3 linked regions of the Coturnix japonica genome follow. The protein of the gene in region 2 interacts with the protein of the main gene of each other region in a biochemical or structural test. Links are inferred from orthologs where the notes say so. Each region holds a gene or a part of one and is shown on either strand. Other genes may lie near its edges.

Evidence for each region.
Region 1: the proteins of HNF4A (region 2) and SREBF2 form a complex in vitro, tested with the Homo sapiens proteins (2 studies listed by BioGRID and IntAct). The link is inferred for Coturnix japonica from reciprocal best matches to the Homo sapiens genes HNF4A and SREBF2.
Region 3: the proteins of HNF4A (region 2) and NCOA6 form a complex in vitro, tested with the Homo sapiens proteins (2 studies listed by BioGRID). The link is inferred for Coturnix japonica from reciprocal best matches to the Homo sapiens genes HNF4A and NCOA6.

Annotation. Positions count from the first base shown.
Region 1 is NC_029516.1:45,158,104-45,165,439, reverse strand, and holds the start of SREBF2 (sterol regulatory element-binding protein 2), read left to right. Parts: upstream 1-3,412; 5' UTR 3,413-3,511; coding exon 3,512-3,593; intron 3,594-4,554; coding exon 4,555-4,917; intron 4,918-5,003; coding exon 5,004-5,185; intron 5,186-5,684; coding exon 5,685-5,825; intron 5,826-7,336. Other genes in the region: CCDC134 (coiled-coil domain-containing protein 134), read left to right, coding at 740-857, 1,463-1,584, 1,744-1,828, 2,012-2,193, 2,344-2,415, 2,775-2,900.
Region 2 is NC_029535.1:4,768,042-4,774,900, forward strand, and holds part of HNF4A (hepatocyte nuclear factor 4-alpha), read right to left. Parts: intron 5,196-6,859; coding exon 5,018-5,195; intron 4,248-5,017; coding exon 4,153-4,247; intron 2,383-4,152; coding exon 2,276-2,382; intron 684-2,275; coding exon 528-683; intron 1-527. UniProt on the Homo sapiens protein: Transcriptional regulator which controls the expression of hepatic genes during the transition of endodermal cells to hepatic progenitor cells, facilitating the recruitment of RNA pol II to the promoters of target genes. Activates the transcription of CYP2C38.
Region 3 is NC_029535.1:415,314-422,793, forward strand, and holds the start of NCOA6 (nuclear receptor coactivator 6), read left to right. Parts: upstream 1-3,072; 5' UTR 3,073-3,267; intron 3,268-7,480. UniProt on the Homo sapiens protein: Nuclear receptor coactivator that directly binds nuclear receptors and stimulates the transcriptional activities in a hormone-dependent fashion. Coactivates expression in an agonist- and AF2-dependent manner.

The sequences.
Region 1 (7,336 bases), on a different chromosome or scaffold from region 2:
ACAGCGAGGCTGACAGGTGGGCTCTTTTGTGCAGCAAGCAGCTGGGGCTGCTGGGGATCACAGGGGAACTGCTCCCCATCTGCTGCTGCACAGGGCAGACAGGTTCTTGCTTTTACAAAGAGGGGAGCAGCTCTGCAGAGTTTCTGGGTGTGAAGACAGAAGGAAGGGCTCTTGGAGAGTGTGGAGGAACATCTGCATAGAGGGTTTTGCATCCCTGTGCTTAGGCAGCCTGGCTTAGGGAAAGGGAGGGTCGTCATTTGGGTCATGACCTCATGGTTGAACCATAGCCTGTGTTCAGTTTGCTTACATTAGGGAAGAGTCAGGCAGGTATTCCTCAGTTCTGTGGTGTAGTCTGGGCTGGAGTGTGCATATGGTGTGTGAGCTGATGGGGTCGGGTGGTTCAGGAACACACCAGGCTGCTTTTGGCATGGGAAACACTGGAGGGGGCTGCTCAGCAGTGGTGGAGTCCCCATCCCTGGGGATGTGTGGATGTGGCACTGATGGATGTGGTTTATTGATAGGACTTGGTCAGGTTGATGATTCAACTTGGTGATCCCGGCACATTGCCTTGGTGCTTTGTGTGAGGAGGGGATGGCGATGGGTGTGCAGTGACGACATGGGAACCTTGGCTCTGAACTGGCAGTGGCTGCTTTGTCACCAGTTTTGGACCTGGTGGGCTGACAGGTCTCCTGTGGAGAACGTCTCTGCATTGTCACTGGTTTTGTCTGTTTTGTTCCAGGCTGTGGCCTCCAAGATGGATTTCTTCTGGATCTGCCTCATCCTGTTGGCAGTGGTGCTGCCCAAAGGCAGCCTGGCAGACCTGGAGAAGCAGAAGATGGGCTCTGGATTGGAGATCTGTATCCTTTCCCATAGTGCCAAGCCTCTGTCACACTCACACCTGAGGAGGCCGTGGAACACTTGAATGTGAGGAGATGGCACAAAGGGGATGGAAGAGAGAGGAGGGGAGGGCCCTAAGGCTATGCTTATTGCTAGCAACATGGGAACAAGCTGAGCTAAGTGTCACATGGCTGCTGGGCATGACCTTGAGCAACCTGATGTGGCTTTGGTCCTGCCTGGAGCAGGGCTGGCACTGCATGCCATATTGCCCCATATTGCCACCTGTTAGTTCTTGGGCAATACAAAGCAACAGTCTGTGCTCAAATGTTGCCCCAGCATCAACCAGCACTGCTGAGCACTTTCCTCATCACCCTTCTGTAGGAGGGAGTTGCTAATGAGATGTCAGGGCCTGTAATGAAATGAGTTTTTCAGGTGGTGTCTGAAGAAGACCTCATGCAGAGCTCTTCTTTCTGCCCCAGTGTGCTGGGTGTTAGCAAGCATCCTGCTGGGGTATCTGGAAACCCACCTCTTGGCCCCGAAACCCCACTCTCAGAACTGGGCTGTCTTTCTGGGAGCAGTCTGTGAACTCGCTCAGAGCCCCACAGTGCCCTTGACAACACTGCAGATAAGAAGCTGTTCGAGGTGAAGCGCAAGGACCAGATGAATGCCTTGAAGAACCTCATTGAGCTCAATGACATCAACCAACAGTATAAAATCATTGACATCATGCTCAAGGGACTCTTCAAAGTGAGTGTGGGATGGGCTCAGGGTGCTGTGGTGCAGGGGATGGGTTTGGGGAGAGTGGGCAGAAGAAGTAGGGCACATAGATGAGCAGGAAGGGGAAGGGAGGAACACAGCGGGGCACCCCATAGGTTAAGAGGGCAGTGACCCCAAGGACTCTTGTAGGTGCTGGAAGACTCCCGGGCTGTACTCATAGCTGCAGACGTGCCTCCGGATGGGCCTTTCCCCCAGGATGAGAAGCTGAAGGATGGTGAGTGCTCCATATTGCTTAACCCCCTTAGCTAAGATGTCACAGCCTGTCTTCTCTCCCACTCCTGCCCCTGGGGATTGTCCCACGTCCACCCTTGGTGTCCCATGGCTGGTGATGCCCCGAAGCTGGCATTTGGGGCGTGTGGGATGTGCTGCTGATGGGGCTGGTTCCTCTCGTCCTCAGCCTACTCCCATGTGGTGGAGAACACGGCCTTCTTTGGGGACGTCGTGCTGCGCTTCCCCAAGATTGTGCACCACTACTTCGACCGCAACTCCAACTGGAACAACCTGATCCGTTGGGGCATCAGCTTCTGCAACCTGACGGGCGTCTTTGATCAGGGCCCCCACTCCCAGCTCCTGGGGCTGGTACGGCCTTGAGGCCACTAATGGGGGTCTGCAGGGGGTTGTGGGAAGACAGAGGATTTGGGGCTGGTGGGGACTGAAGTGTCTGAGGGATGAGGGGTGGGAGGAGGCGGTGGTGATGGTCTCCCACGGGGGATTTGCTTTGCTTCACAGATGGCTCAGGAGCTGGGCATCAGTGAGAAGTCCCCCAATTACCGCAACCCCTTCAAAGCTGATCACTCTGAGGTAGGGTGGCCGAGCCACATAGTCCTCTTCTGTGATTTCACTGGGTTTTGGATGGGCTTTGAAGGGTTTTTATTGTGTTCTGCTTGTGTTTTTGTCGGGCTCTGGTTGGGTTGTTACTGCTTTTTTGTTGGGCTTTGGAGGGTTTTGGTTGTGTTCTGATTGGGTTTCAGTTGTTTTGTTGGGCGTTTTGCTGTGTTCTGGTTGGATTTTTACTGGGTTTCTGTTGGGTTTTGAAGGGGTTTTGTTGGGTTCTGGTGGGTTTTTGGTTGGTGCTCCACAGGAGATGCCGTGCTCCACTTCCACTCTCCCTCAAAACACTGAATTTATCATTTCCTTTGTACTTCTAACTCCCACCCCAGTTCTTCCCCAGCGCCGACACCTTCCAGAAGGCGCTTCGCGAGGAGGAGAAGCGGCGCCGGAAGGAGGAGAAGCGCAAGGAGATCCGCAAGGGGCCGCGCATCTCCCGCTCGCAGTCTGAGCTGTAAAGGCCCGAGTGGGCCGGGACCTGCACCGATGCGGCCGCTCCCCCCCACGGCGGGGCCGGGGATGCCCCGTCAGCCTCTCCTGTGAGTTTTGGGGTGGATTTTTGTTTTCCAGCCGGTGCGGCCCAGTGGTCCCACGGCCCCAAAGTGGGGCCGTCCCCGAGCGGCGGGCGCTGGGGCAGCAGCCGTCAGCTGGGAGCAGGGCCGTGCGTTGGGGACGGGGCGTGCGTTGTTTTTCTGGAATAAAGCAGAACGGTTCTTATTTTTTCTACGCCGAGGCTTCTTGCTCGCTGCCATGGAGAGGGCGCGGGGCGGGGCGCGGGGCTCACGCTCGTGGGCTCGGCCACGCCCCCTCATGAATATGCAGCGCGGAAGGCAGGGGGCGTGGTCTCGCATGCAAATCGCAGCTGCTGATCGCCGACGCGCCATCACGCCACGCGGCGCTGCGCGCTCCTATTGGCTACCGCCGGCCTGGTCCCAGTGACGGAGCGCGGTGGGGGCGGGGCCGGGCAGGTGGGGGCGGGGCCGGGGCGGCGCAAGATGGCGCGGGGCCGGCGGCGCCGGGCTGCTTCCTCCGCTTAGAGCGGGCGGGGAGCGGAGCGGGGCTGAGCGACATGGAGAGCGGCGAGCTGGGCGCCGAGGGCATGGAGACCCTGACCGAGCTGGGCGACGAGCTGACGCTGGGCGACATTGACGGTGAGCGCGGGGCCGGGCGGGGGCGCGGGGCTCGGCGCTGTGCCGCGGGTGGGCTGCGTGGGGGTGCGGGGGAGCCCCCGCGGCGCGGGTCGGCGGGTTTGAGTCATACGCGTGACGTCACGGCGAGCAGCGTGACGTCAGAGGGCAGCGGGGGACGAAGCGGTAATTAGCGCCGATCCTAACGAGTGCCCCGGGGGGGCCCTGTGTCCAAGCACGGAGTGCGCTGGAGCGCATCCAACGCGTTGTGTCCGTCCCTTACCTGCGTGGGGCCACCTGCTCGCAAAATGGCAGTGTATCGAGTGGGAAAGCGCCGTGTCGTGCGGCGTGGGTGCGGCGTGGGGCGGTGTAGGGACAGCCCTACTGCCGGTCCGCTGCCATAAACCACACTGCTGCTTCCGTACCCATGTACAGCCCCTGGGGTATCTGTGCCGCGTGGGGTCCCGTGCGCCTGGTGTTGGGATGGGCTCAGGGGGAGCTCAGGTGGTCAGTGGAGGCAGCTGGAGGGAAGCTTTGGCCGTGGGATCTCCTTAGACGTACCCGTGCATTTCTTAGCTCCAGTTCTGCACAGCGCCGTTTCCTTTAGCCTGTTTCCCCTGTTTCCCTGTATACCTGAAATTACCCCAAGTCGGGGTGAGTCACCACCCGCGTGTCCCTGTGGGGCTCCGTGGGCAGAGGATGGGCGTTGTGTGTGGCAGCCCCGGGTGGGAGGACGGCTCCTACTGAAGTCATGGGGCTGCTCATCCTCCTCCTCCGAGCGTGAAGCTGGGATGGGGATTGGACAAATGGCAACCAGCTGAAAATGTTGGATCTCGAGCTCTGGGAGTGTTTTGACACTGAATTACTGGCTACCTCTGGGGCTTCTGAAGCTGCCGCTTCCTCCTGTGCTCACTGCTGGCCTCTGAGTCCTGACCCCGTGTCCATGGAACCAACCCGCCTCAAACGTTCCTTTTCCTCCTTGCAGAGATGTTGCAGTTCGTCAGCAACCAGGCAGGGGACTTCCCAGACCTGTTTTCGGACCCTCTGTGTGGCACCTTCCAGAGTGGTGGCGGTGGTGGTGGCACAGGCAGTGGGGCCCTGGATGCCACGCGGCCTTATGGCCAGGCCCAGCAGCCCTTCCCTCCGCCTGCTGCCTCCCCACAGCTGCAGAGCGTCCCAGTGAAGGTGCCCCCGACCCCGCAGCGCTCTGCCCCGCTGCTCCAGCCTCGGCTCCAGCCCCAGCTCCAGCAGCAGACGGTGATGATCACCCCCACATTCAGCTCTGCGCCCCAGACCAGGATCATCCAGCAGCCCGTCCTATACCAGAACGCGGCCACGAGCTTCCAAGGTAGCGTTGGGGTCAGTCGTATCCACGGCAGAAAGCATAGAAGGCCTCAGCATGGTGCCATCCCTGACGTCTCTCCCTCTTTGCAGTTCTCCAGCCTCAGGTGCAGAGCCTGGTGACGTCCCCCCAGGTGCAGCCAGTCACCATCCAGCAGCAGGTGCAGGCGGTGCCGGCCCCACGTGTACTGACGCAGGCTGCCGGCGGCACCATCCAGGCACTGGCACCTGCCACAGTCCAGACGGTGGCAGCACCACAGGTCCAGCAGGTGCCGGTAAGTGGATGTGAAAGAGCCTGGTCCATCCACATAGCTCAGGGGTGGAAAAGATCACTAGGATCCAATCGCCAGCCCACCCCCACCATGCCCACTGACCGTGTCCTCAGTGCCACATCCACATGGTTCTGGAGCACCTCTGGGGCTGGTGACTCCTCCACCCCCCTGTGCAGCCTGTGCCACTGCAGCACTGCTCCTTTGGAGAAGAAATTTTTCCTAATATCCAACTTGAACCTCCCCTGGCACAACTTGAGGCCATTCCCTCCCGTCCTGTACCTCACCCATGTGTTGTACCCTCAGGGTTCCCCCAGCTAACACAGGGAACTTGTTACAGGCGAGGGCAGAGGAACCCTTTCATCAGCTCCTTGGTGGTTTTGAGTACTGGGTTACTACTGGTCTCTGATGTCAGCACCATGGGTTGTCACTGCCTCTGACCACTGAGAGGAACAGAGCAGTGTGTGCCCACTTATCCCCTCACCTCTGGCTGTTCCCCATGCAGGTTCTGGTCCAGCCTCAGATCATCAAGACGGACTCCCTCGTGCTGACCACGCTGAAGGCAGACGGCAATCCTGTTATGGCTGCGGTGCAGAACCCAGCGCTCACTGCGCTCACCACTCCTATCCAGACCACAGCTCTGCAGGTAACACTGTTAATACTCTTCTTCCTCCCCTCGGTCACGTTATTTCCTAATACAAGGAGGTTTGGTGTTCGGAGTTCTCCAGTGGTGTGGATGGGAGGGGTTCCAAATGCTGTTCTGAATGTGTCCAACGTGAGTAATGTGCCACTTCTGCTGAGGCTGAGAGCACAGACTGTGTGTGTTTTTGGCAGCCTCCTCTGGCCGGTAAACACAGAGCAAGGGCACGTTCCTGTTTACCTTTTCCTGGCATTAGTAGGAGAGGAGTATGACCAAAGAATTCCATGTGGTTTTTAACCTCTGTGAGAGATGCTTAAAGCCAACTGACTCGGGGTGGCTGTGGATTTTCCTTTCTCCCTCCATAGAATCCAATGGCAAAACATTAGATGTAAAAACTAATTAAACTGCTTCTCAGAGGGAATGTGCTGCAAGGGGTTGGGATCATCATTCAAGATGGCAGCAGTGCTTCTGGGCCATGACTTATCAGCTTGGAGATGCTTGTGTGCTAAAGAGGCTTTTATCACAGCCTTCTGCATTCTGCAAAGGTCCTTCTGTTCTCATACTTGCTGCTGGAGATAAGCTTGCAAGCCTGGACTTAACTTCTGTCTGCATAGCACAATGGGGTTCCTGTGCCCTTGGTAGCAGCCAGACCAAAGTTTTCAGTTTACTTGCTGTTAGGTCTCACTTTGTCATGGAGGTGAGGCTCATGTGATTGTGCCTGGCAAATACACAACCCACAAAGCACTCTGAATGCATTGAAATATGCTGGAAATTAACTGAGGAAAGACAGAATACTTTAACTCATTTTTTGCCAAAAGCTTTAAGCGAACCTGTGTTCATTCCTATCCCAGTTCAATAACTATTTCAGAATAAAAGTTGATTCTTAATTTGCTTGGGGCTAAATTAATCTCGCCTACATCGGTTTGATTTCTGGTATAAATAACTGCTTTTCCATAACAACTTCTCTGATTCTGAGTGTGCTTCAGAGACCAGTTGTACCTTTCCCAATCTTACCTTACTGGTTGGAGTGATCTAAATGGTTTCCTTTGGTCTGACTGTCCTAGAAGCCCCTCTGTGCAACCGTCCTGGTGGGATTCACCATCTTTTCTCCTATAGCACGTGCTGCTTTGGCCAGGGGGAGATCGTTTATTTAAATTTAAACCATAGAATCATTAAGGTTGAAGAGACCTCTAGAATCACCTTGTCCATCTGACAGCCCATCCCCACCATGCCCACTGACCATGTCCTCAGTGCCACATCCACACGGTTCTGGAATCCCTCCAGGGCTGGTGACTCCACCAGCTCCAGTCCGTCCCATCTTATTACTGTTTCCTGGGAGAATATGCCAACCCACCATGCTACAACCTCCTTTCAGGCCATCGCAGAGAGTAATAGAAGCCCAAGCTCTTCACATCAGTGTGCATCAGTCTGCCTTAATACCTCATATGAAGGTATTTTATAGCTTAAAGTAGTTAGGGATCTGTTTCTTCCCCTGTGCAATCTAATTCAAATCCAAG
Region 2 (6,859 bases):
AAATGGGGTTTTGTGACCAGCTGGATGCTCTCACTTTCTGTAATAGGATCGGAGTCTGATCCAGGCTGATTTTTTGACTGCACATTGGCTAAATGGGAATCCCTGAGTTCCTTCCTATGTGGGACATGAACCACGCTGGCTGCCTCCAGAAGTGATGTCCCTGCCCACCTCCCTCACACGCCAGGGCACAGCCATGTCCTGTAACATCTGCTGCAGACCTCTGATGTTTGGGTTCAGCAGGAAACACCTCTCTGTATCTCTCTGAGGAACAACTGACTGGCAGATCCATACAAAATGCACACCTGATTGTGTACCTAACTTGAGCTCACTGTTATCACCACTGTGCTCATCGGCTGATTATCCCACATCAGATGGCCTGCAGTGGCATTGTATGGATGCTGCTCCCAATCAGCCTGGCGGTCACGACAGCAGAGCAAACAATGCTCATTTTCTTTGAAGGTCTCAGCCCTCGTTTTGCTTTTGGATGTCATCACCGGGGCAGAGCGAGGTGGGGGGACGGGGCTCACCTGGTCATCCAGGGGCAGCTCACAGAACGCAGGGATGTACTTGGCCCACTCCACCAGCACCAACAGCTGCTGCTTCATGGACTCGCACACGTCGGCGATGTTGGCGATCTTCTTCCCTCGGATGTCTCCATTCATCACAAGGACTGGGGATGATATCTGGGAAGAGAGAAAGGATCCCTCAGCAGGAGCACAGACAAATCTTAGGCCTGGGAAGGTTTGGGTGCTGTGTTTAGCAGACACCAGCAGTGAGATTACCATGTTTTTGCATTGAGAATTATTCGTGACTGCAGAGGCAAACTGGGACATTTCATACACTAAGAGCTCTGCAGGTACCATCTCTCCAAGGAAGAACATCTCAAGCTCAGGCACCAGCTTCCTGCCCTGTTCCCACGCTTAGCTGGTCACCCAGCTCATCTGACAACTTGCCCTTCGTCACTACTTCATCCTCATGCTTCTGTAAGCAATTAACTCAACCCCATCACTGCCCTCCGCCTGCCCTCTCTGCTCATGTACAACATCAGCTCTTCCTGTCCTCTTCCTGCCCGCTCAGACCCTGCCACCTCCCTAAGGAAATGGAGTCCAAATGCCACCCCAGGTTTTTTTCAGGTTGCGTTACCTGGAAGTTCTCCAGCTCTACAGCTATTATTGAATAAATAAGATTGTAAAAATCTCACCATGTATTACCCTAATCAGAAAGCCCCGGAAGGCTTAGCAAATAAAACCTTCTGAGTGAGTGACCCAAGATCTTGGAGAAAACAGCTCCTCAGCAGTATCTTGTTCTAATTAGCCAGGCATATAGAAGTTAGTGTGCTGGAGTCTGCCTTGTTTAATGAATATATATGTGCTCTGTGGGAGAGCGACAGCTCCCTTACATTTGTCAATAGCTGTAGTTTTATCAGCAGACCCCACTCGAACCCTCCACCTCGTGTCACTACAGGACTCAGGGCCCCAGGAATGCCCGTCCCTTGTAGGTCTGGTGACTCGAGACCCCATGATCTCACCTCTCTGGGAGCAGCACCAATGTTATTTTCAGAGGGTATGTAAATACATTAGGACCTGTGTAGGACGAAGTGAGACATGGGATGAGCTTGGACGTGCCACTGCTGTATAGGTTTGGCCCACAGCCCTTCTGGCATATCCCCCCTTGAAGGGGGTGTCCTTACAGCCATCCCTAGCATAGAGCCCTGTCCTGGGGGCCATCTGCAGGGCCACATGAACACGGACTGCCACTCCAGCTTGAACCCATCTTTGTTTTCATGAGGAAAAAGGGATAGATGTTTAAATAGTTGTTTTCCATTTGGTGAATGCTCAGGATGTGAGCTTTGGCAGTACGCTTGTGGAAATCAGGAACTTCAAGCAAACACTGGAAGGAATATCTACATTAAAGAAAAAGAAGCATGAAACCGATTGCTCATAAAACTGAGCAGGCAACCTGAAATCAGGAGTTCCTGACAGGCACTGGGGATGGGAGGCTGCCTGTGCAAGGCCACAGCTCCTTGGATTGCGATCACTGCCCAGTTCTCTTCCAGCAGAAATCAGAGCAGAACAGACCATTGGCTATTATTGCAGCACAGTTCCAGGAGCATTGAAGGGCTGGTTTCAGGTAATGGATGCCTTTGAGAAACCAGTGTTGAGTTGGCAGATAAGTTGCTTAGAAAGGAGTTGGTAATTTGAAGACTCTGCTGTTAACTACTCGGCAGCCCTAGTGCCTGATGCTTTGTATTGGCCAAAAAGGAAAGAACAGGTACCTGTTGTGCCAGGACTTCTGCCTGCAGTAAGACATTGATGGAGGGCAAGCTGCTGTCTTCATAACTTGATCTTCGGGTGCTGATTCGGTCCCGTTCATTTTGTACAGCTGCAAGAGAGGATTTTGGCACAGCTGCAGGTTGTTCATGGAAACACACAGCAAAAGCTATCAGAGCCTCACAGCGTTCCCTTTCGCAAGGCTTTGGACCACTTCCTGAGCTGCAGTTTCCCAGCTTCCCTGCCTGCCAAGGCAAAGGTGCAGCTGTGTCTGGTTTGTGACGTGATGCCTGCAGGAGCTGATTACGTTTGGTCCTTCTTTTTTCACACTGTCTATACTTGGCTTTGTGGGGACTGGGGTGTTCCAGAACCCCAGCACTTGGCTCAAAACCTGCTGAGCTCAATGGGAGAGTTTCATCTCAAGGGATCTGTTTCTCAGTGTTTTGATTTCAAGGTATAGGATCTGTTTCTTAAGGGAATGTCTGAGAGTGCGGCTGTGCTCATGCAGGCAGCCCATAGCTTATATGTGAAATCAAGCAGCCAGGTATGTGCACAGCTATTTTATCTGTCCGTGCAACATCTGTGAGCTGCATTTAGGAAGCTCTTGTGCTGCGTAGGTGCAGTTTGCAAACATCTCTCTCAGCTTCAATAAGGAAGGAAATGCAGAATAGCTCCTATGCATCTATGCAGAGCCACAGAGCACCCTTATACCTTAATGTAGAGAGAGCCCAGGCAGGTATGAGCCCAGCATTCCTCCCTACTTGGTGTGCTCTAGAGAAGGGCCTGGGCTGTGAGTCTCTCTGTGCCATGGGGCTGTGGGTTGGCCGTAACTCACCACAGCCAAGTCAGTCACCCAAAGCCATCTGCTCAAACAAGGTATTGATCGATGGCAGGGGAAACAGAACAGTCTCTGCCTTAGGCCGGCGGCTCTCTGGATTGATACGTTCTCAATGTATAAATCTGCCTGATAAAAAGCAATAATGAGGCTGGGCCAGAAGCAAAGCCCTGCAGTCAGCGGCTGTAAATAGGAGCTCTCAAGGTTATGCTGCTTGTTATCAGTAGCAGGCCCCCGAGTTCAGTCACGCCATGATGTTTTCCAAATGTTTGCTCAGTATTAGCTGGTCATGCACCTAATGTAACTTCTATTGAATATTAACAGACAGCAGCAAAGCTCCGGGCATGGGATGAGCGGGCTCTGCAGGGAGAGGAGGATTCCTGTGTTCTAAAGGAAAGTCAAGCCCAGTTCCTTGCAACACCTCATTTACTGTAATAGGAAGACGTGTTCCTGCTCAGAGGCCTTCCCGCAGGCTGGCATCCTTGGGGCAGGACTTTTGTTTCTCCTCCAGCAGGGCCAGCAGTGGGGCTACTAGCATGACAGGGCCACCGGCAGCCCCAGGTGTCCCTGCTATGGCTGATGTATCAGATACAACTCAGCTCTCTGCACAGGGCCCTAAAGGACCTACATCCTCATGAGCAAACTGTGATGCAAAAGGGTTGTTGCACGCTTTGCTGGAGCCACCTGTCCAGACATGGATTTGTAGGTGACACAGCAGTTCTCCCAAAGTGCTCCTGAATGACTCAGGCCTCTTCTGAGCTTCGTGCATCTCAGTGTGAGAAGCTGAAAGCTGTGGATGTGACTTGTGGGTACAAGGTGGGGGGGGGTGGTCAGTTCTGGGACATGGGCATGGGCTGGTGGCTCTCTCTTGGCATCTGAATAGGGCCCCTGGAACTGAGATTGAAGCTTAACTGAGTGCAAGGGCTCTGTATGGCTTAAAGTGGGCAGCTGGACCTGCCTGGGGCTCATGGAAACATCCAGCATCTCCCTGTCCTGCCATGAGGGAGGGCTGGTCTGTGCTGAGGGCAGGGAGGGGAAGGCACCCACCTTCCTTCTTCATCCCTGCTCGGAAGCACTTCTTAAGCCTGCAGTATCGGCACTGGTTTCTTTTGTCTTTGTCTACCACACACTGCCTGTTAAACCTGGGGAGAAACAGAGGAGTGAGGAGCAGTGAGACTGAGCCTGCGAGAGGGGAGGGGGAGAGGGGAGGGGTAGAAGTGGGCTGAAGTCCCCACATCTCTCCAAGGCAGTGTTGGCTCCAGGAGGTTCTTGCTGACCTCTGGACAGCATCGCTGGCACACAAGCAGCTCTGAGCTGCCTGTGCTTCAGAGAGGAGATGGCAAGCACCCAGCTCCTTCCCTACCCACTTGTATCACCACATTGATTGCAGATGACGGTGCATTACACTGATCTCCCGTATGCAGCATAAGCCTGGTAGCCATTTGCAGCATGAATTTCACTTGCAAATATGCTCTGATTAGCTGCTGATTGATCAAGCTTGCAAAGACAAAGGCATACAGATCTATGAAAGGGCTCCCAGCCATGCAGAGTTCTGTAGCTCTGGGAAGGCCTGTTTGTAACACACTTTTGAAAGCCCCAAGCTAAGATTTGCTCAAATGGATGCCAGAAAGCAGATCTTTAAGCACTGTCATAAAAGATCTGGTGTCAGGAGAACTGGGAGCCTTGGCTTTTCCCACTAGAGCTGTGGGGAGGGGTCTTCTTGGACAGACAGCCTAAACAGCCCTGCCTTGCAAGCAGCCGTGTGCTTCACATGCACTAAGTCCAGAGCTTATCGCCAGAGGATGAGGTCAGGGAAGACACTGGAGGATACAGAGGAGATGAAGGGCCATGCTGCAGCACTCAGCTTTGCTGCACAGCTGCTGGGTGCTGTTTTGTTCCCCTCTGCCCTTACCTGCAGGAGTACATGTGGTTCTTCCTCACACTCCTCCTGAAGAAGCCTTTGCAGCCATCGCAGCTGGAAGCCCCATAGTGCTTCCCTGTGGCACGGTCCCCGCAGATGGCACACAGTGCGCTCACCCCAATGCTGTTGGAAGTGTTGAGGTTGGCTGCTTCTGATGGAGATGTGTCTGCTTGGGAAAGGACACAGCAAGAACACAGTGAGACAGACAGCTGACAACTCCTAACTCCTTTTCCAGCAAGTTACCAAAGAACTGGGCAGCTGCAGCAGGTCATAAGAAGTGGTGGGTGCTCCGGGTGTCCCAAGTCTTTGCATCTCGAATGTGCTAATGCTGCTGCTGCGCCAGGGTGAGCAGCTCTTCCCAAAGGCCCGACTCCAGCAATGCCTTCAGGATACACAGAAACCCGTTTGCAGCTGTCACAAAGCACAGCCAAAATTCCTGGGGGATTTGCAGATGCTTTGGGCCTCTGCAGTATGGCCAGAGAACGAGTTGGTGCAGTTTGAGCTGAGGTTTTACAGCTTGGGGTGAGCTGCTGGTTTGATAGCGAAGTGTTGGTGTTACTGCACTGAAAGAGGCTTCAAGAGGCTGTTAGTGCACAATAATTGCATATGGCTTCAGCTGGAGAACTCATGGACAAATACCCACCATGTGAGGAGGGACTGACTGGGACAACCCAGAAAGAAAGGACAGCACTATAACATGGCGAAGGCTGTATGCTGGGTACCTTCCAGAGTATGGGATGTGAGATGCACCCTGCAGTCCTTACAAGCTGTAAGGGGACTGGTATGTGTAGTGTGTTTTTGGGAGGGTGGGGAATTGCAGCAGCCTGTGTAGGAGAGAACACCTGAAAGGCTCAAAACCATACAAGCCCTAGACTAAAATCCCTCCGGCAAGCCAAACAAACCCCAAGGCTGAAGGGATCAGCTCACTATTCAGTTGATCTAATTGTCCCCTCCCAAGCACATTTTCTTGTATCAGCATGGGACTCAGAGGAAATCCCGTTTGCAAATGATACACCTAGGATCTACAAAGCCATAGAAACCTACTGAGACTTTAACACCGGAATATGTCAATCCTAACAGCCCTCTCAAAGGACAGCAGTGGAGATCAGCAGGCCAACAGAGGGTCAGAGGATGACAGAATAGCAAGGAGGACCTCTCAGGCACTGCTCGTGACCCAGCCTGCATCCCATAGCACAGAGGTGGGCATTGTACAACCAACAGGGCTCCCAGAGAACATTCACCTTGCATTTCTGAGGGCCTGGCAGTCACTTTGAGGGGTGAGCACTGACCTCCCCAAGGCTATGGGGAACAGCTCAGTGCTCCTCATCTCCCCTCTCACCTTCTCCTTCCCCACACCCCCATTGGGTTTGGCAGGGATGCAATTAACACTTACCCAGGAGGGCCGCATTTGCTCCCACCTGGCTCCCATCAGAGAGGGGCTGCAGAAGGATAAATGCTCTGAGAGGGCTGGTCCCAGGATATGGGGGGTGCCTTTGCTGACTGGGAACTGTGAGTTGTAGAGGGTTAAGGTAAGTACATCAGGTGTAGGGCTTCAACTTTAGTTTCTGCTTAGCAGGAAATGGGTTGAAGTGGGCTCTGCAGCAGGATGTACACAACCTCCTCATGCTGCCCCTTGATGTAGATGTGTGGGTACAAGTGACCTGGGGTGCCTGCTGTGATCCCAGCAGTGAGCTCATGCAGGGCATCTCCACCAGCTCTTTCAGCAGCTCTCACTTCCCTGCCTGCTTTCTTTCTAATTCCTCACATCTTTCCTCTATTGCTCTCCTGAGTCACAGTTTGCTCTCTCCAGGCCCGGCACACCCTGCTGTACTG
Region 3 (7,480 bases), about 4.4 Mb from region 2:
CAGTGTGCAGGGCAGAGGGCACAGTAGAGCTGGGGAGCCGAAGCACGCTGCCCATGAAGGGCCCTCCAGTGGCCAGAGCATCTTTAGATGCAGATGGTCGGGAGTGCAGCCTGCTGCCCAGCACAAAATCCTGAGTGACCACGGCTGCTTGCCAGTCTGGTTTCAGGCCACAGGGACTGGCCTGAGCCCTCCACAAAGGCATGGAGATGCCAACAGCCAAGTACCCCCACCCTACCTACCAGCTATGCAGTCATCTGCCCACGTCTCTGTCACCACACTCACAGTTAAACCAAATCCTAGATAGCTACAGACTGGGATCAAAAGTAGATAGAAGGACAGCACGGCAGGTCTTCTCTCTAAGTGAGCCCTATGCCAGTATCAGAAGGTACATCATTCCATCCAAGTCAACATTTAAGTTTAGGGAATCTAAAACTAGCCATGAGGACACCTTTGCTATATAGCATTTTTCCTTTAAAAATACTGCCATATAGGAACGTATAACCAGAATCTTGTCTGACTGGCCTGAAAACCCCGTAGTCCCATTCATGGTGTGCAGAGGCCAGCTTTACCACACTCATGGTAAAGTTATTTCCACCTCTTTGATAGAATGGGATTAATTTTGGCCATGCAAGGCTTGTGCCAATCCTGGCCTTTTTCAAGTGCTCAGAAGTACAAGATAAAAAGTCACCAGAAATGGTGTTATGAAGCTCTAAATGGATGTGCAAGGCAGGGAGCTGCTGGTGAAAGAAGGGCTTTTTGCAGACCCGGAGTGAGTGGCACACAGCCTCCCTGCTCCACATAAGAAGGTTACAGCACTCGGGTGACCAGAGCAAACCTTAATGAGACGCACCAATACTGCACTGCCTGAAATCTCAATCTGGGCAGAATAATGCTCTATTTGTCATTGCTGGCTGTGGTTAACCCTGTGTTAACATAGATAATATAAAGTCAAGGAAAGGAAAAATAAAAAGAATTCTGCACTAATTTCTAGTGAGGACAAACAGCGGGATTTGGAGGGGGATTTCTGAGAAGGGCATTCTGATCTGACTGTGTGCGGGGTAGGGGAATATGTTCTGGGGAAGATCAAGCTGATAAGGGGAGAAAGTTAAACATATATGGGTAAAGAAGTGCCTCTTTGTACAGAAGAAATTATGGAGATGAGAAAGAAAGGCAGGTACTTTTCAGATACTGAATAAGCCTTTCAGCTTCCTCTTGCTTCCAGCTCTAAAGACATTAGCAGAGTAATACAAAGCCCCCAGAACACCTCATGTGAAAAGCTCCCGGCAAGCAAACTCCCCATCTCACCTTCTGACATTTCTGAGGAACTTATCAGGGTCTGGGAGGGTTTCTTCCCCAGGACTCAGATTCACAAGGCTTCAGACTTGGAATTGAGCTCTAGGACACAGATGTACCTTAGCCTGCCACATGCTGATCCCAGCATCAAGTTAATGTCCCAGCTGGAATCCCAAACCACCAGCGCAACTGCAAGCCATGCTGTGGGCTGTGCCCATCCTCTGCTGCCTCCCCCAGCCCCATTCTTCACAACTCCATGCCCCCACGCTTCTTCCCAAACCTCTGTGTGCCTCCGCTGGGGGAGAGGCAGCACGAAGGCTGTGCAGGGAGCTCCCACACCTCAGGCACCGGGGCAGATATACATGGAGAGAGGCACGAGCAGAAGAACCCCCTAGCAAAGAATTGCTGAGCAATTTGTCCTTCAGCAGGGAGTGTCTGAGCTGCCAGTGCTGCATAAACAGCCTGCTCGCAGCTTTCCACACACCAAAATTACTTGGCAGAAGCATCAGTCATCCAATAACGGTGGTGGTTTGCTTTCCCATGGAATGGATTCATACATCCATTTAAGAAATCCTATTTTGTTCCGTGTTGCTCTAGCAGCAAATGACAAGTGGGACAGCTGCATTTCACACGTTCTGCAAACAAACCGAGGTTTCCTCTTGTCGTGCCGTTCTGTGGGTCCATCGGGGCTGTGCCCAGCAGTGAGCTGGGGGCCGTGCACCCCAGGGAGCACAGCAGGACCTGCCCACATTGCTGTGCCAACTGTGCGGTTTTTTAAAGGACCAAAGACTGGATTTTCACAAGGGACTCCTGGTCATTGTAGTGGCCTTACACAGCAGCTGCCACGTGCTGCTTTTGTTTACCAGCGGAACATGGGTGCTCTTCAATGAAAGCGGCGACCGGCAGAAGAAAAAGTGACGTTTCTGCAGCGGCACCGCGGCGGTGTGAGCTCGGCATTGCCCACGTGCACTCAGCCTTGCAGGATATGACGTGAACTCCTGCGGGTCTCAGTGCCCCGCACGCTAAATCCTGCCAGACAGCCCCGTGTGCCCCTTCTCTGCTCGGGGACCAAAGCATTCCGTTATTCAAAAGCATCCCCACATTCTAGTGCCGTTCCGCACGACTCCATCCCGTTACACCTTTCCCTCAGCAGCGCAGGCCTCGCTCCCGCCGTGCGGCAGGAGCCGAGTATCGCTGCTGACACAGCCGCAGCGCCGGGGGCTGCCCCGGACCCGGCCGACTTTGAACGCAGGCTCCCAGAGCAGGTGGCACGGGAAGACACGCAGGCGGGTTCGAACGTCTGCAGAGACTCCTGCAGCACACGGCGCAGGCCGTGCCGGGCTCGGGCGCCCTCAGAGCGGCTTCTTCACTCGGCGGCGTTCGGCGCCAGCCCGGGGACCGCCCGCGGCCGGGGCCTCCCGGCAAAGATGGCGGCCGCTCCCCAGAGCGCCCCGCAGGCAGCGCCGGCCGCTCCCCCGGGCCCGGCCGGACCCGGTTCCGACAGCGCCGCGGGAGGGACGGCGCCGCGGCCCCGCGGACGCCTCGCGGAAGGCGGCTCCCAGTGCGCGGGCCGGGACCGGGGCCGCGCGATGCCGCCGGCAGCGCCCGCTCGGCGCGGAGCGGCGATGAAGGAGAGCGGAGACCGCGGGGCGGCGACGGCGGAGCGCGGAGCAGCTCCGTCCCGCACGGCGGAACCCCCCGTCCCGGCGGATCCCCCCTCCCGGCGCAGCGCGCTCGGACGCAGGCGCGGGCGGCGCGGGGCGGGAGGTCACGTGGCGCGCGGCGGAGCGGCGGGAGGCGGAGCGGCGGCCTGCGGAGGGTGTCCGGGCGCCCCAGGGCCCACCGCGACCTCCCGCCCCCGCTGTCACGGGGCGCGGGCTCCGCTCGCCCCTGGTCGCACGGGCGCTCCTCGCCCTCCCCCGCGCGGTCGCGGAGCGGGTCACGGCGGCGGCGGAGCGGCGACACCGGCACCAGGTGAGGGCGGGGCGGCCCGCGGCCTCTCGGCGGCACGGGCGGGACGGGGGTGGCGGGGCGGAAGCGGCGGCCCGGAGCGGAGCGGGCCGGGACGAGCCGGCCCGACGCGGCGCGGAGTCGCCCGAGCGCTCACCGTGCTCGGGGCCGCCGCCGGGGGGGGGGGGTTGCCGGGCCGCGCTCGGCCGCAGCGTTCGAGGGGTGCCCTCGGACGGGAGCCCCGGGCCGGGCCGCGTCGTCGGGCCCCTCTCGGGCCGCGGCCCGAGCCCCGGGGCTCCGCCCGCAGCTGCGGCCGCACCGCGGCCTGCGGAGCTCTCGGGCCGGGCCCAGCCGGCGGTGCGCAGCCCCGGGAGGAGGAAAGCGGCTCTCGCTAAAGCCGCCTGAAGCCGCTGTCGGCTCGGGCGCTGTTTCTGGGGTCGGTTCTTCGGCGGGTGTCACGAAGATGTCAGTGACGGTGCGCTGACGTTTCTTTGAGCCCCAGCTTTTGTTTGAATTTCTCTGTAACTCTCCAGCGTAGCGATCTTCTGGTCCTGTAGTCTCGGTGTGTCCCGGCCTTTCTCCAAGTTCGGTTTCTTTCAGAAAGCCCGACCTCCCTTTCTTTCCCCTGGCTGGTGCGGGAGGAGCGGTGCTGAGCTGTGTGCCCCGGGTCGGGGGCTGCTCGGCCCGCTCTGTGGGTCTCGCTGCTTACATCAGGCAGTGTGCAGTAATGTTATGCTGTTCTAGTAAAGAAATAGCTGCTTCTTTTGAAATGTGTGGAAGAACATGAGAAAGCCAGGCCTCTACCTGCGTTTGTAAACTGAGTATTAATGCTTTCACTTTTCAGCTGCTTAAATGCTTGAAACATGGGGCGATAGCGTTCCGATGAACATTTGTACTATCGCTCAGTTCTTAGCTGTGGTACTGCCAAAGATCGCGTACCTTTGTAGCAGATGTTAAACGTCTTAAACTCATAACTAGGTCATTGAATGGGTTTCCAGCATGTTTTTAGTTTTGAATACTGTACTGATTGCTTTTGGAAGAAAACTGGAGTTGCAGCTACACAGATACAGTGTGTTTAAGAGTTTTGCAAAGGCAGAAGGTTTGCTGCCAAGGACATTGAGGAGCGAAGGTGGCTGTAACAGTTGGATTGCAGTGGAAATAGAGCTGTTACAGGTCATTGGTGCCCCTCTGAAGGGCAGGGAACTTGGTGTTGGTGTCTCTTTCAAAACCATGTGGCCTCTATTGAGAAATACAAATGCGACGATGTACAGGGAGCTCCCACTGGATGAACAGCAGGGCTTAAAGCTGAGAGTCTGCATAGCAGAAATTGTGTTCAGACAAACTTGTTCCTTAACTCTGGCCAGAGCAGAAGCTATGGGAAAGAATGCTTAGAATTGGGAAAGCAAAGGGGCAGAAATTGAAAGATAAATAATGCTAGACATATACAGACCTGAGGCAGGGGAGGTCCATCCCCGTATTCCAGGTGAGAGGTTTTCCATCTGGCTGACAGGTGGAACTTCTGTCATGTTTGCTTTATGGAGGCAGTGGTTGCTGTGTGTTCTGTCCGCCTCTTGCTCTGCCCTGTTTGCAAACTTTTGGTGGCCTCGGAGTGAATCAGTTGTTTTGCAGCAGCAGCTGCCCCACACAGGTGACATTTCAGCCCCCACAGCCTGTGTATGGCTTAGATTGTGCATCTTGGTAGCTGAAGGCTTCCCTCGGGATGATGTGTGACACTGAATTATTTGTGGCCTAATCAGAAGGAAAGGAGTGGGGGAAGGCTGGGCTTTGGATTGCACAGAGAGGAGCTAGAGGAAACTTTGCAGAGGTCTGAAAGCATAGGTAAAAACCATCTGCCAGCAGGGCTTGTTGCCCTTGCAATGTGTCCTGTGTCGTTAGTTGGTGCTGCTGACAAGCCTCCTGCGTTTGGAACAGCACTTCCAAGTCTGGTGGTAATGTCCTTAAAGTAGGAACAAGAGATGAATTCTGGTGTCTATGTATGGGGACCTTGATGTCGTGTCAGAGTAAATATCTCTTCATGTATTTAGGGAAGTGAAGGAGGAGCAGTGTGCGGCAGAGCTCACCTGAGGAAGGGAGGTGCTCAGTGTGACAGCCATCGTTCTGGGACTGAGGGGGCTGCTCCCTTCTGCAGCTTCAGGGAGCAGAGGGCTTTGGGTCAGATTTGTACAGCAATTAAAAAGTACAGTAGAAGAGCTGTGCCTTGTCTAAATTGATTTGTCCTTATATAAACTGATACTGGAACAGAAGATGTATGCCTCCGGTGGCGCAGTGGTTAAAGACGCCACTTTGCAACACCAGAGGCCCTGGGTTCGAATCCCCTGTGTTGCAAGTGGTAGAAGTGCCGCTCTGCTACACAGAGGCTCGAATCCCGGGGGGTTGGACTCGATGATCTCTAAGGTCCCTTCCAAACCCGCACGAAACTATGAAACTATGAAGATGTGAGCTGTGTATGTGAGAGTCTGAATTTTAAGTCTGCATTTTGTGAAAAGGAATGATTCAGTTACTCTCACCAAAAGATACATGCTGCTAAGTTCTCCAAGTCCTGTGTGCGTCCTTTTAGTTTTGTAGTTTTTACTCTTTTAATAGTTAAATATACGTGACCTTCCGAGACATGGGAACTGGTATGGGGCTCCATCTCTGGGCAGTTTCTTACAGAGCCTGCATCACATGTAAACCCGTGTCCTGCACTCCTGCAAGGCACACCCATAAACCTCCTTCCTTACTGTAAGGTACAAGGAAAGCATGGAGAATTATTCTTGCTGGTGAAGAATAGCACTGGACAAGAAATAGCTGTGCAGCATAGGAAGGTGTTCCTTCTGAGGTTTTCTTCAGGCCCTCTGTCCATCCCACACTAATACACTGCTAATTCTTTTGCATCTGTTTTACCATAGAGACCACAGTGTGGCTCTTCATGTGACAATACTTCCAGGATTTCGTTTTGCCAAAAGCTTTAGAGAGTGCAGAATGTACTGCAAGCTTTTATATATCAGGAGAGTCTCAGAACAACCTCGATTTCATCAAAAGCTATCCCTGCTTAATGTGGCATTCATGATTTTGGTCATTTTCTTTCTCTTCAGATCAAGCGTTCTCCTTCCTGAGCACCTGAGTTACTTTTAAGCCATTTACATTATGTTTAATTTTTTTCTTCATACTTCACAGTGTCTCGGGATTTTATAAATCTTAGTGAAATGTAATGGGCTTCCACTGCACAGAGAAGAGCCTGGTGAAGAGTACTGCACTATATAAGAGGTGGAGGTTCCAGTCAGAGTTCAGTTCAGGACTGACAGTCACAGGAATACTTGATTGTTGTACCAGCATTTATGAACATCAGCGAGGGTTTTGGGGATAAAAGCCACATGTGGGGCTTGTTGGCCCAGACTGCTTTGGCTGGTGGGGATTGGTTCCACCTGAGATAAGAAGCCCGTCACCACCACACATTGACTGGGTTGCTACTTAACAAGGGGGTTTCTCACAGCCTTCAGGAGATGAGATCAAATGGTTTCTTGTCAAGATGCATCTAAGGTTAAATAGCTTCTCATTTTACTTACTTGCCAATTGCATTGATGGGCCTTAATGAACAGTTACCAACTGCACAGTGCTGTCATGGTGTTTATCTATTACAGGCTGCGGTACATTACTTCTAGATAGCAATATCCTTAATGTCTGATGTTAGTTACACCGTGCAGTCTGCAGCTTCTACAAGGAGTGCCTGTGCTGCGTGGGCTCACGCAGGGCTGGGAACCTCCTGGGGTCCTGTTCAGCTCTTACACATGGGGATCTCTCCACGTGGTTACTTGGCTTGCTCTGGAGTTAGCACTGGGTTTTCTTTTTAGAGCAGCCTTGGTGATGGAGGCTGTTGGCTTCTGCTGAATTAAGAATGGCTGAGTTGCCCAGATGGAGAAGTGTCCACAGCAGAATGGCTGTAGCTGTGGAGTTTAAGCACAGCTCACGAACTTCAGCTTCATAAAGCCTTAAAAATGCAAACATTCCACTAAGCAACGTGCATCAAAATGCACGTGCACATTTGTTGCAGCCATCCATGGTTTTCCATCTTTCAGAAAAACACAGGTTTTACTTGTTTTGTGCCTGAAGGCTGTGGAAGTGTAGTGGAAAAATACGGGAATAGAGGAAAGCCGTGCATCAGGATGAATGGAGCCTGCCTTCTTGTGGGCTTTGCTTCATTGACATTTGAGCAAGCATCAGATCAAATTGGTCCTTT